2 linked regions of the Arabidopsis thaliana genome follow. The protein of the gene in region 2 interacts with the protein of the main gene of each other region in a pairwise test. Each region holds a gene or a part of one and is shown on either strand. Other genes may lie near its edges.

Region 1 (4,366 bases), on a different chromosome or scaffold from region 2:
ATTCATTACTCATCATTTATTCAATGTTCGATAATTTCTTGGAAGCAGACAGCATTTGGGCCTCGAGATTTAAATTGGCCCAAGGTCCACGTTTACTTGGGTCAATCACAGTCAAAACGTTTTCCCGGGGTTTCTCTCAATTTTTTTGTCAAAGTCTCTCAACTTTTAAAAATACAAACACTGGGATCCTCCACGGCATGCAAAAGGATATTATAATGAAGATGAAATCAAATTGGTATAAAAAGTTGGAGAAAGGTATAAACACTATGTATGTGGCTAAAAATAGCTAGAAACTTATAATTTAGGTGAAAGAAGATTTGAGTAACGTTGTTGTTGTTATATAATAAGATGAAATAATGACAAGAAATCTGAAATAATATGCGAATATGCCACCGACGGGAGAAATACACGTGGACGGCTGATAAAGCTTTGTGAAGGAATCCCACAATAATATAAGAAGATCTGACCAAAGGTTCCTTTCTGGATAAGCCGCTCTCCTCGTGTCCACGTGGCATTTTCAAACGTGGGACCTCCTAATCTATATCACTAAACCCATCCACTCATATTATCTCTCTTTCTATCATCTAAAATCCAAAATGTTCGTCCATTTTTTTTTTTCTGTTCATAAACAAAAACTGCATTGCCTTTTAATTTATTCTTCTTCTAATCCATACAAATGATTATGGAACTATAAATCTATAATAATAATACAATTAACCACAAAATAAAATATATCTTAGTATTATAAGATATGACTTTTGGAGTTAGGGGGTGTCTAATACAAATATTATGGTATTTGTAATCTTAGCAAGAAATGAAATCACAATCATGTTTATCTTTCTTAAGATAACATATTTTACTCAGTCATGGGTCTACTTTTATTTTCAGTTTAGATTATTAAATAAATAACAATAGTTTTGTCGCCTTACTATATGACCAAAAATTAGATTTTCTCTATGTGTAGGATGTTGGCATTTGTTTACCATTTTTCTTATGATAACTTATTAAACAGATGTCATATTTTACTTATTTGTGTTTATAACTGTTAAAATCTAGTCAAGCTTTCTGTATGGAACGCGTGAAGGGCTATTAAGATATTTTAAAATGTTGAATAGTGTAATTAATCTTGTGGCTAATAATATTCATGCCAATTGTTAATTTCTGGTGGAGGGTTAACACTTGTACATAAATACTTAATTTTTCTTTTTGCAGTTTTTGTATAGATATCCATCCTTATATAAATAGAAAAATATAAGGAAATTGTAATGATTTAGCATAAGACAATTGGATAATCACAAATGCATTAAACCTATTAACTAGTCTATATAGAAAGAGTTATTAGTTACAGCTATACTATTTGTGGTGGCATTAATATATAGTAACTTATTTAAGATATATGTCATAATGTTAAAAAGAAATCACAGAGAAAGCTGTTATTTTTTTTAATCCTAAATTTAAAACTTTGGATATTGAGATTAGCCTGTAATACATCTTTTTCCAAAAAATTTATACAAAAATGGCCATTAATAATTAATAGTAATAGCTAGTTGGACTTCTTAGTTCAAAGTAATTCAACATTTTTTCTAAAATAAATCTTCTAATAATAGAACACGTTGGATTGACTAATTAAGTCAAATATGAAATATGGAAAAGGAAAAAAATCCACCAACGATACACCAAATAATTTCCGATTTTTATATATATAAATAAACATACTAAGAGCAAAAGAAAAACAAACTGAAAATAAAAAAAATAAATAAATAAAAAAAAAAATCCGGCCAGATAAATCGAATTTATGTAATAAATCCGACCAGATAAACTGATATTATTGTCTTTCTTCCGCTCCTTTGTCTCTCTATCTCTTTCTCACAATTAGATTCTGTGCTTCTTCTGCGATCAACTAAGATCCGATCCGCGAGCGTTTCAGACTTCGATCAGATCCGATTAAGAGAAGCAAATCGGGTCGGGTATGACTCGTCGATGTTCTCACTGCAATCACAATGGCCACAACTCTCGGACTTGTCCCAATCGCGGCGTGAAGCTCTTTGGTGTTCGGCTCACCGAAGGTTCGATCCGGAAAAGTGCAAGTATGGGTAATCTTAGCCATTACACGGGTTCTGGATCGGGTGGGCATGGAACCGGGTCCAACACTCCGGGTTCTCCGGGTGATGTCCCTGACCATGTCGCTGGTGATGGTTACGCTTCTGAGGATTTCGTTGCTGGCTCTTCCTCTAGCCGCGAGAGAAAGAAAGGTATCTTCGTTTGATTTCTGAGATTAAATTTTTTATCAAATTCCAAATTTTTGTAATTGAGTTTATTTTGCATCAAAGTCGTTGATTGCATTATGTAACAAGTGGTGATCTGGTTTATGTAACAAGATTTTGATGTGTGTTTGATATTGGTTTTGTTGTAGGAACTCCATGGACAGAGGAAGAACACAGGATGTTCTTATTAGGTTTACAGAAGCTGGGTAAAGGTGATTGGAGAGGTATCTCAAGAAACTATGTGACCACTAGGACACCTACACAAGTTGCTAGCCATGCTCAGAAGTATTTCATCAGACAATCCAATGTCTCTCGTCGCAAAAGACGTTCTAGTCTCTTTGATATGGTTCCTGATGAGGTTTGTTCCTTCTTCATTCAAAAACACCATTTTTATTTATATTGGAGTGGTTACAAAATGTGTTGAGATACTGATTTAAAGGATTCAGAAGCTTATTAGGTGGATTGGTTTGCCTTCTACATTTCAATATGAAAAGTTGAAGTCTGTTGGGGTTCTAATTGATATGCTTGAGGATATCATTTTGTAGCCAATCCTGCTTAAGCATTTTGGTCTTCTCATGGGAATGTGATCTTGAAATGTAATTCTCTTTCTTTATTCTGCTTATGCTGTGTGATTTGTCCTTGTAGGTTGGAGATATTCCCATGGATTTGCAAGAACCAGAGGAAGATAATATTCCTGTGGAAACTGAAATGCAAGGTGCTGACTCTATTCATCAGACACTTGCTCCTAGCTCACTTCACGCACCGTCAATCTTGGAAATCGAAGAATGTGAATCAATGGACTCCACAAACTCTACCACCGGGGAACCAACCGCAACTGCCGCTGCTGCTTCTTCTTCTTCCAGACTAGAAGAAACCACACAACTGCAATCACAACTGCAACCGCAGCCGCAACTACCTGGCTCATTCCCCATACTATATCCGACCTACTTTTCACCATATTACCCGTTTCCATTCCCAATATGGCCTGCTGGTTATGTTCCTGAACCACCCAAGAAAGAGGAAACTCATGAAATTCTCAGACCAACTGCTGTGCACTCGAAAGCTCCTATCAATGTTGACGAGCTTCTTGGTATGTCTAAGCTCAGCCTTGCAGAGTCCAACAAACATGGAGAATCCGATCAGTCTCTTTCATTGAAGCTAGGTGGCGGGTCATCTTCAAGACAATCAGCATTTCACCCGAATCCTAGCTCTGATAGTTCAGACATCAAAAGCGTGATACACGCTTTATAAAAGACCTGAGGAAGTGATGGTCTAAAATGGGATCTGGTTTGGGGTTTACAGGTTAGTTGTTGGTCACAGTAACTTAAATAAGTTTTTCTTTGTTAGGTTGTTTAACTTGGGTAGGATGTTTTAGTTCAGCTTTGATCATTAGGGAAAAGAAAAAAGAAAAAAAAAAGGGAGAAAAACAAATTATTATTTTTTGCTTACATTTCTTTATATTTGTATGCTTTTATTTTGACTCTAGGATGCGTTAATTTTCGTTTAATCTGTACTAAAAATTAGAATTTATTAGTTTTGAATAAATAAAATCACAGTTTGTTTATCCTCTGACCAAAAACTATAACTGGATTGAAAACGGAAATTAAACCAAGACGAACCGGATTTAACCGGACTCCAGTGTTGTAAGAGAAAGTAAACAAGTTCCCAAGCGTTTCGTAAGTAAAAAAACGAATGGGCTAAACAATTAGTCTAAATGGGCCTTAAAAGAGTGAATAACGTGTCATAATCAGGAGCGTTAAATTTAGGGCGATGAGTGTCGAGAGTGTTCCCGCGTTCACCGATTCACTCCACTCTTTGGTTAAAAAGTCCACTGTCATGGAAAATTAATCGCGGTGATTTACACAGATGCCACGTGGCACGTTCGCTTTCTTTTTCTTCCTCGTGTTGATTTTTTTTCTTCTCTTTTGTCCCTCTTTGGTTTTTCTTTTCCCCTTCACAAGGCGCGATTTGAGTCGCCTCGCATTTCAAACCCTTCTTCTCCGGCGTAAACCTTTGCTCTATCTCTCGATAAAAACCCTTGTTTCGTTTTCACCTTCGTATTTAGCGATGCTTCCACACTCCTACACCGTCGATTCGCTTTC
Region 2 (4,797 bases):
GTGTATAATGTAAGAATAGTCTTTGTTGTTGAGTTGCACACAAAAAAAAAAGTCTTGGTTGTTGACTTTCAGAAAGAAAGTAAAGTTAATAATTGATATTTTTTAAAGAGTTGATCATCCGTAGGAGAAATAATTAGTGGTAATTTAAAAATATCTCTTATTATTTACATTAGGAAACCATACTTTGATTATCCTTAGACATGTCTTTATAAAACTCGCATGTTAGATCAGCTTACAATTGTTTAGTATACAACTCTTCAGAACAAAGAGACTCTTGTATTGTGACATTTAAACAAAAATACTTGATTTTTGGAATGATTACCGTCTCAAAATAGTTAGATAATTTTTTTGCTAAAATGATTGCTAAGACTTTAAAATAAAATAAACATAAACTAGAGAAGTGAAACTGTAGTTTTATATAGTTTATAACTATATACAACCGTATATATTTCTCATAGATGTGATCCATGAGATTGTATATGCTCCATTGTAGATACTTGAACTAATAAGAACCATTCTTTTATTAATAATTTTGTTGTCTAACAATTGCTTAAATCTCTGTCAAATTTATAGCCTCTTATCTAGAAAAATGAGATCATAGATATTCATAGTAGGATGTGAGTGGCTCCAATATGTCTTTGAAGAAGTTGTTTAGTGGTAGGAGAAAAATTATTTCAAGACTCTGACTTCATTTCATGAATTATCTATTATTCATATAATACAATTGCTTATGAGTTATCTTGCATCCATTAAAATTTGCTAAACATAGCTAGATCTTCTTGTCGGATACTTCTTCGAGAAAGAATCTTGTTTAATTGGCAATTATCACCAAAATTATATAAGTGGTTGTTGATACACAATCCATTATCAATAACACTAATGATCACATAATCTGTAATTTTTCATTACATTACTCAAAAAAATTCTATTCAAATTTGTAGAAATCTCACAAAAATATAATTTAATAGCAATGTATGGATGATTTTAATTCTCAGTTTACATAAGGAATGAAATTATATATTATGAGTTACATATATATTGTATGCTATGTATCTCTCTAGCACAAAATTAGATTCATAACATATACTATCACCTATTAACATTAATTTATATGTCATACTACATAAATTAATATGCGAAATTATGGATGATGCACAAAACACATTAGTAAGAAAATAAAAATCCCTAAAAAAGTAAGAAGAATCTTTCTTTAATCAAACGAGTCCGAATTTAGGAGAAGTGAACGAATTATAAGGGTTGTCCTGTTGAAACGACTAGTATGAACAAGAGGCGGACCAAACGACATATAAAACGAGCTGACTAATATTGGACAAGCTCGATGGGTTTGAGGACGAGCTAATAGTGCACTCTCTCTATGTCAACATAAAGTGTAGATCTTGTGACAAGACTTGCTATTTTGTATTTATAAGAACCAAGATAGGACATATGTCAAAGTAAATTGGTGGATCTACCTTCCGACCTATTGACATGGTTTCGGCTTTTTATAGACGCTAACTCATCGATTAGGTTTTCTTCCAAACGAATTTTAAGTTGAAAATAGACCCAATTACCTTAATTATTATTGGACATTGTCCATTCCTTGAGTTTATTCCAATTAAAACCTGAATTGGAGGAAGCCCAATTCTTCCCTCAACAACTATGTTACCCATCTCCTCTTAATATATAAATTTTTAAAATATAAAAGATTATTATTAATTAAGAAGTTTACAAACACTTGTCAAACAATAACCATAATAAAACTGGAAAAAGAATATATTATATTCTAGATATTAACCAAAAAGCTTAATATCATTTTCAAACTATTGGTAATTAACTAATTGTTCTTGAAAAATGTAGTGTCTAATTCCGTTTCAAAAAAGCGAGTTAACATTTGGAAGCCTTAACTCTTTTTTTCAAAAAAGTAAAATGAATTGAAATTTGAAATGAGTAAAAAAATCAAAAGCAGAGCCAATAAGATACGTACACGTCATAGCCGACTCTAGCACAAACGGTGTGAAACGAAAATATAAACGTCGCTACAAAAAAAATCGTCGAGACAAACCAAAAAAAAGCCTAAAAAGCCGACCTTTTTTCTTTCTTTCTCTCCTCTACCTCTCAGCTTCTGCTGGATCTCTCCAGCAGACACGATCTTGTTCGGAGAGATTCGTAGGGTAAAGGGTTTCTCTTCTTCTCTATTTTGCTTTCACCTTTATAATCTTTTCTGGGTCTCGATTTTGTTTTCTAATTTCATTTCCATTTCGATTCGATTCCTCCTTTGTGTGGGAGGCCTTTGTTCGGTCAACTTATGTGTTCTGTTTTTGTCTCTTTTTTATTGATTAGGGACCGATCTATCAAGGCTTCAAGGGCAAACAGGTGAATTAGCTTTTGGGATTTGGTTTTATTTAGGGTTCATTTGTAAGCTGTTGATGTGAATTCTTTTTTATGGTTCTCGATTGTTTAATGATTTGATTGTTTGGTTATATTTGCATGTGGGTTTTGTGTGTGTTTGGAAATTTGAATGAATTGATGTGAAAAGTTGTAACTCTTGTTTTTGTTGATTTAAAAGGCTAAGTTTTGAAAATTTTCATTTCTGTGGAGAGAGGTAGTGTTGGATATGAGTGATATTAGCTATGTGGGTTTTGTATGCTTTTGAATTTTGAAATGAATTGCTATGAAAAGTTGTAACCTAAGAAAGGTAGTGTTAGATGGAAATTAGATTAGTATGTGAGTTTTGCATGTTTTAGAAGCTTGAAATGAATTGCTTTGAAAGTTTATAGCTTTACGCTGATATAAGAGGCTAATTTCTAAGTAGTGTTGGATAGAAATAAGATTAGCTGCTCTAATGTTTTTAAAATGATTCATTTATGATTCTAATTTGCCTAATGAATGTGGTACTAGGTGCTAGGTAACCTAGACACTTCTGTTTGGTTGGGTAGCTTATTGTTAGAAAACAGGTCAGCAAGATTTGTTTGTCTGTTTCAGGTTCTAGAGTTAGCAGAGAAATGGCTCTAGGCTTGCTTTTGTTCTCTTCTTTCTATTTAGTTAAAGATCCTGAATTATAGGAAGGTGCTTATAGGTAGTGTGGTTATAAACTATGAAGATCATGTGTAAGGTATCCAGATAAGTTATTTCATGAAAAGAATTGTTCATCTGCTTATTTTCATGTGTATGTTTTGCACTGATTTTCTAAGGCAACTGATGATACTGATTGGGTTTAAATGTACTCATCATCGTGAATCTTCTGCGAATTTTTGTTTTATTTTTCCATGTCACTGAGACTGAAGATGGCTGATTTTAAATGTAGAAATGGACCACGACAAGACAGGATGCCAAAGCCCACCTGAAGGTCCCAAGCTATGTACTAACAACTGCGGTTTCTTTGGAAGCGCTGCCACAATGAACATGTGTTCTAAGTGTCACAAGGATATGTTGTTCCAACAGGAGCAGGGCGCTAAGTTTGCATCTGCAGTGTCTGGAACATCGTCATCCAGCAACATCATAAAGGAAACCTTTACCGCTGCGTTGGTCGATATTGAAACCAAATCCGTTGAGCCGATGACTGTTTCTGTACAGCCATCCTCTGTCCAAGTCGTTGCAGAGGTAGTAGCACCAGAAGAAGCTGCGAAACCAAAGGGACCAAGCCGATGTACTACTTGCAATAAGCGGGTTGGCCTGACTGGATTCAAATGTCGCTGTGGGAGCCTCTTCTGCGGAACACACCGCTATGCAGACGTACATGACTGCTCCTTCAATTACCATGCTGCTGCGCAAGAGGCGATAGCTAAGGCAAACCCGGTTGTGAAAGCAGAGAAGCTTGACAAAATCTGAAAATCTAAGTAAACTTCTCTGGTTTCATCAGGTGGCCTGGTGTTTCCTTCTCCTGTCTGTGTCTGGTTCAAGTATTCTCATGTTAAAAAGGTTTTATATAAGGTCGAATGAAAGCGTGCTTGATCTTTAGCGTCTTCCATCTCTCTGTGGTGTGGAACTTTCTATTATCTGTGTTTGCAAGCAGAGAAACGTGCTCTTAAAAAAAATGCTTTGTGTGTTTATCTTTCTACTATTTTTGAGCACTGTGTTATTGTTTCCTGTTTGGTCTGTATCATATTGAGATTGTCTCTGTAGCTACATGAAGCTTATTTAAAAAGGCCTGTGTTTGTCCTTCAATCAGTGATTCCTTTCAATTTCTCTGGTTGGTGAGTTATGTAACTTTGCAAAGTCATGAGCTTACTATATATGTGTATATATGGGTCGATAAACACTGAAGAGCTCGCTTTTTCCTGTTCTGAGTACGAACGCCCATAACCATAGAAGAAGGAGATGATCGTAAGGAGACAAAAGCTCCAAAGGGTGTCGTCCTCACTTGCTTTACAACATGTCCTATGTGAAAAACCGACGTCGTATCAAGTTGCGTAAGCATCGTATCAACTTGCTCTAAACGGCATCGTAGGAGTTGCTTTAAACGTCACCATACTATATACTAGTTCCTGAGGACATCGTATAAAAATGTTTGGAACTGTTTGGTTCATTGCCTACACAACAAACGGCGTTTTATCTGATTTTACCGGTTTTTTGATGAGTCATCACTGATAGTGATAACTGATGCGCTTTTGCTTCACCGCAACTCCTTCTCAACCGCAACCATTTCACTAGAGACACATGTAACTATCTCAACCGCAAGATTTGGCAAACAATCAAGCGTACGTTCGTTTTCCTCATAAACCCCAGCACCGCATCTTCTACGTACTTATTCCGCTTTCAGTTTTGTTTGATTTCACCAAAATACCAAACAATATTTTT

The links. Proteins that work in one complex are often made in the same cells at the same time.
Region 1: the proteins of AT1G51200 (region 2) and AT5G47390 interact in a two-hybrid assay, tested with the Arabidopsis thaliana proteins (one large-scale study listed by BioGRID).

What each region holds. Positions count from the first base shown.
Region 1 is NC_003076.8:19,225,032-19,229,397, forward strand, and holds AT5G47390 (myb-like transcription factor family protein), read left to right. Parts: upstream 1-1,737; 5' UTR 1,738-1,969; coding exon 1,970-2,252; intron 2,253-2,413; coding exon 2,414-2,622; intron 2,623-2,909; coding exon 2,910-3,515; 3' UTR 3,516-3,864; downstream 3,865-4,366. Other genes in the region: AT5G47400 (sphingomyelin phosphodiesterase), read left to right, coding at 4,131-4,366. UniProt on the Arabidopsis thaliana protein: Transcriptional repressor. Direct regulator of the transcription of peroxidase (Prxs) and reactive oxygen species (ROS)-related genes via the recognition of 5'-ATCACA-3' motif.
Region 2 is NC_003070.9:18,982,384-18,987,180, forward strand, and holds AT1G51200 (A20/AN1-like zinc finger family protein), read left to right. Parts: upstream 1-1,897; 5' UTR 1,898-2,171; exon of another isoform or gene 2,172-2,340; 5' UTR 2,341-2,373; intron 2,374-3,304; 5' UTR 3,305-3,306; coding exon 3,307-3,828; 3' UTR 3,829-4,251; downstream 4,252-4,797. UniProt on the Arabidopsis thaliana protein: May be involved in environmental stress response.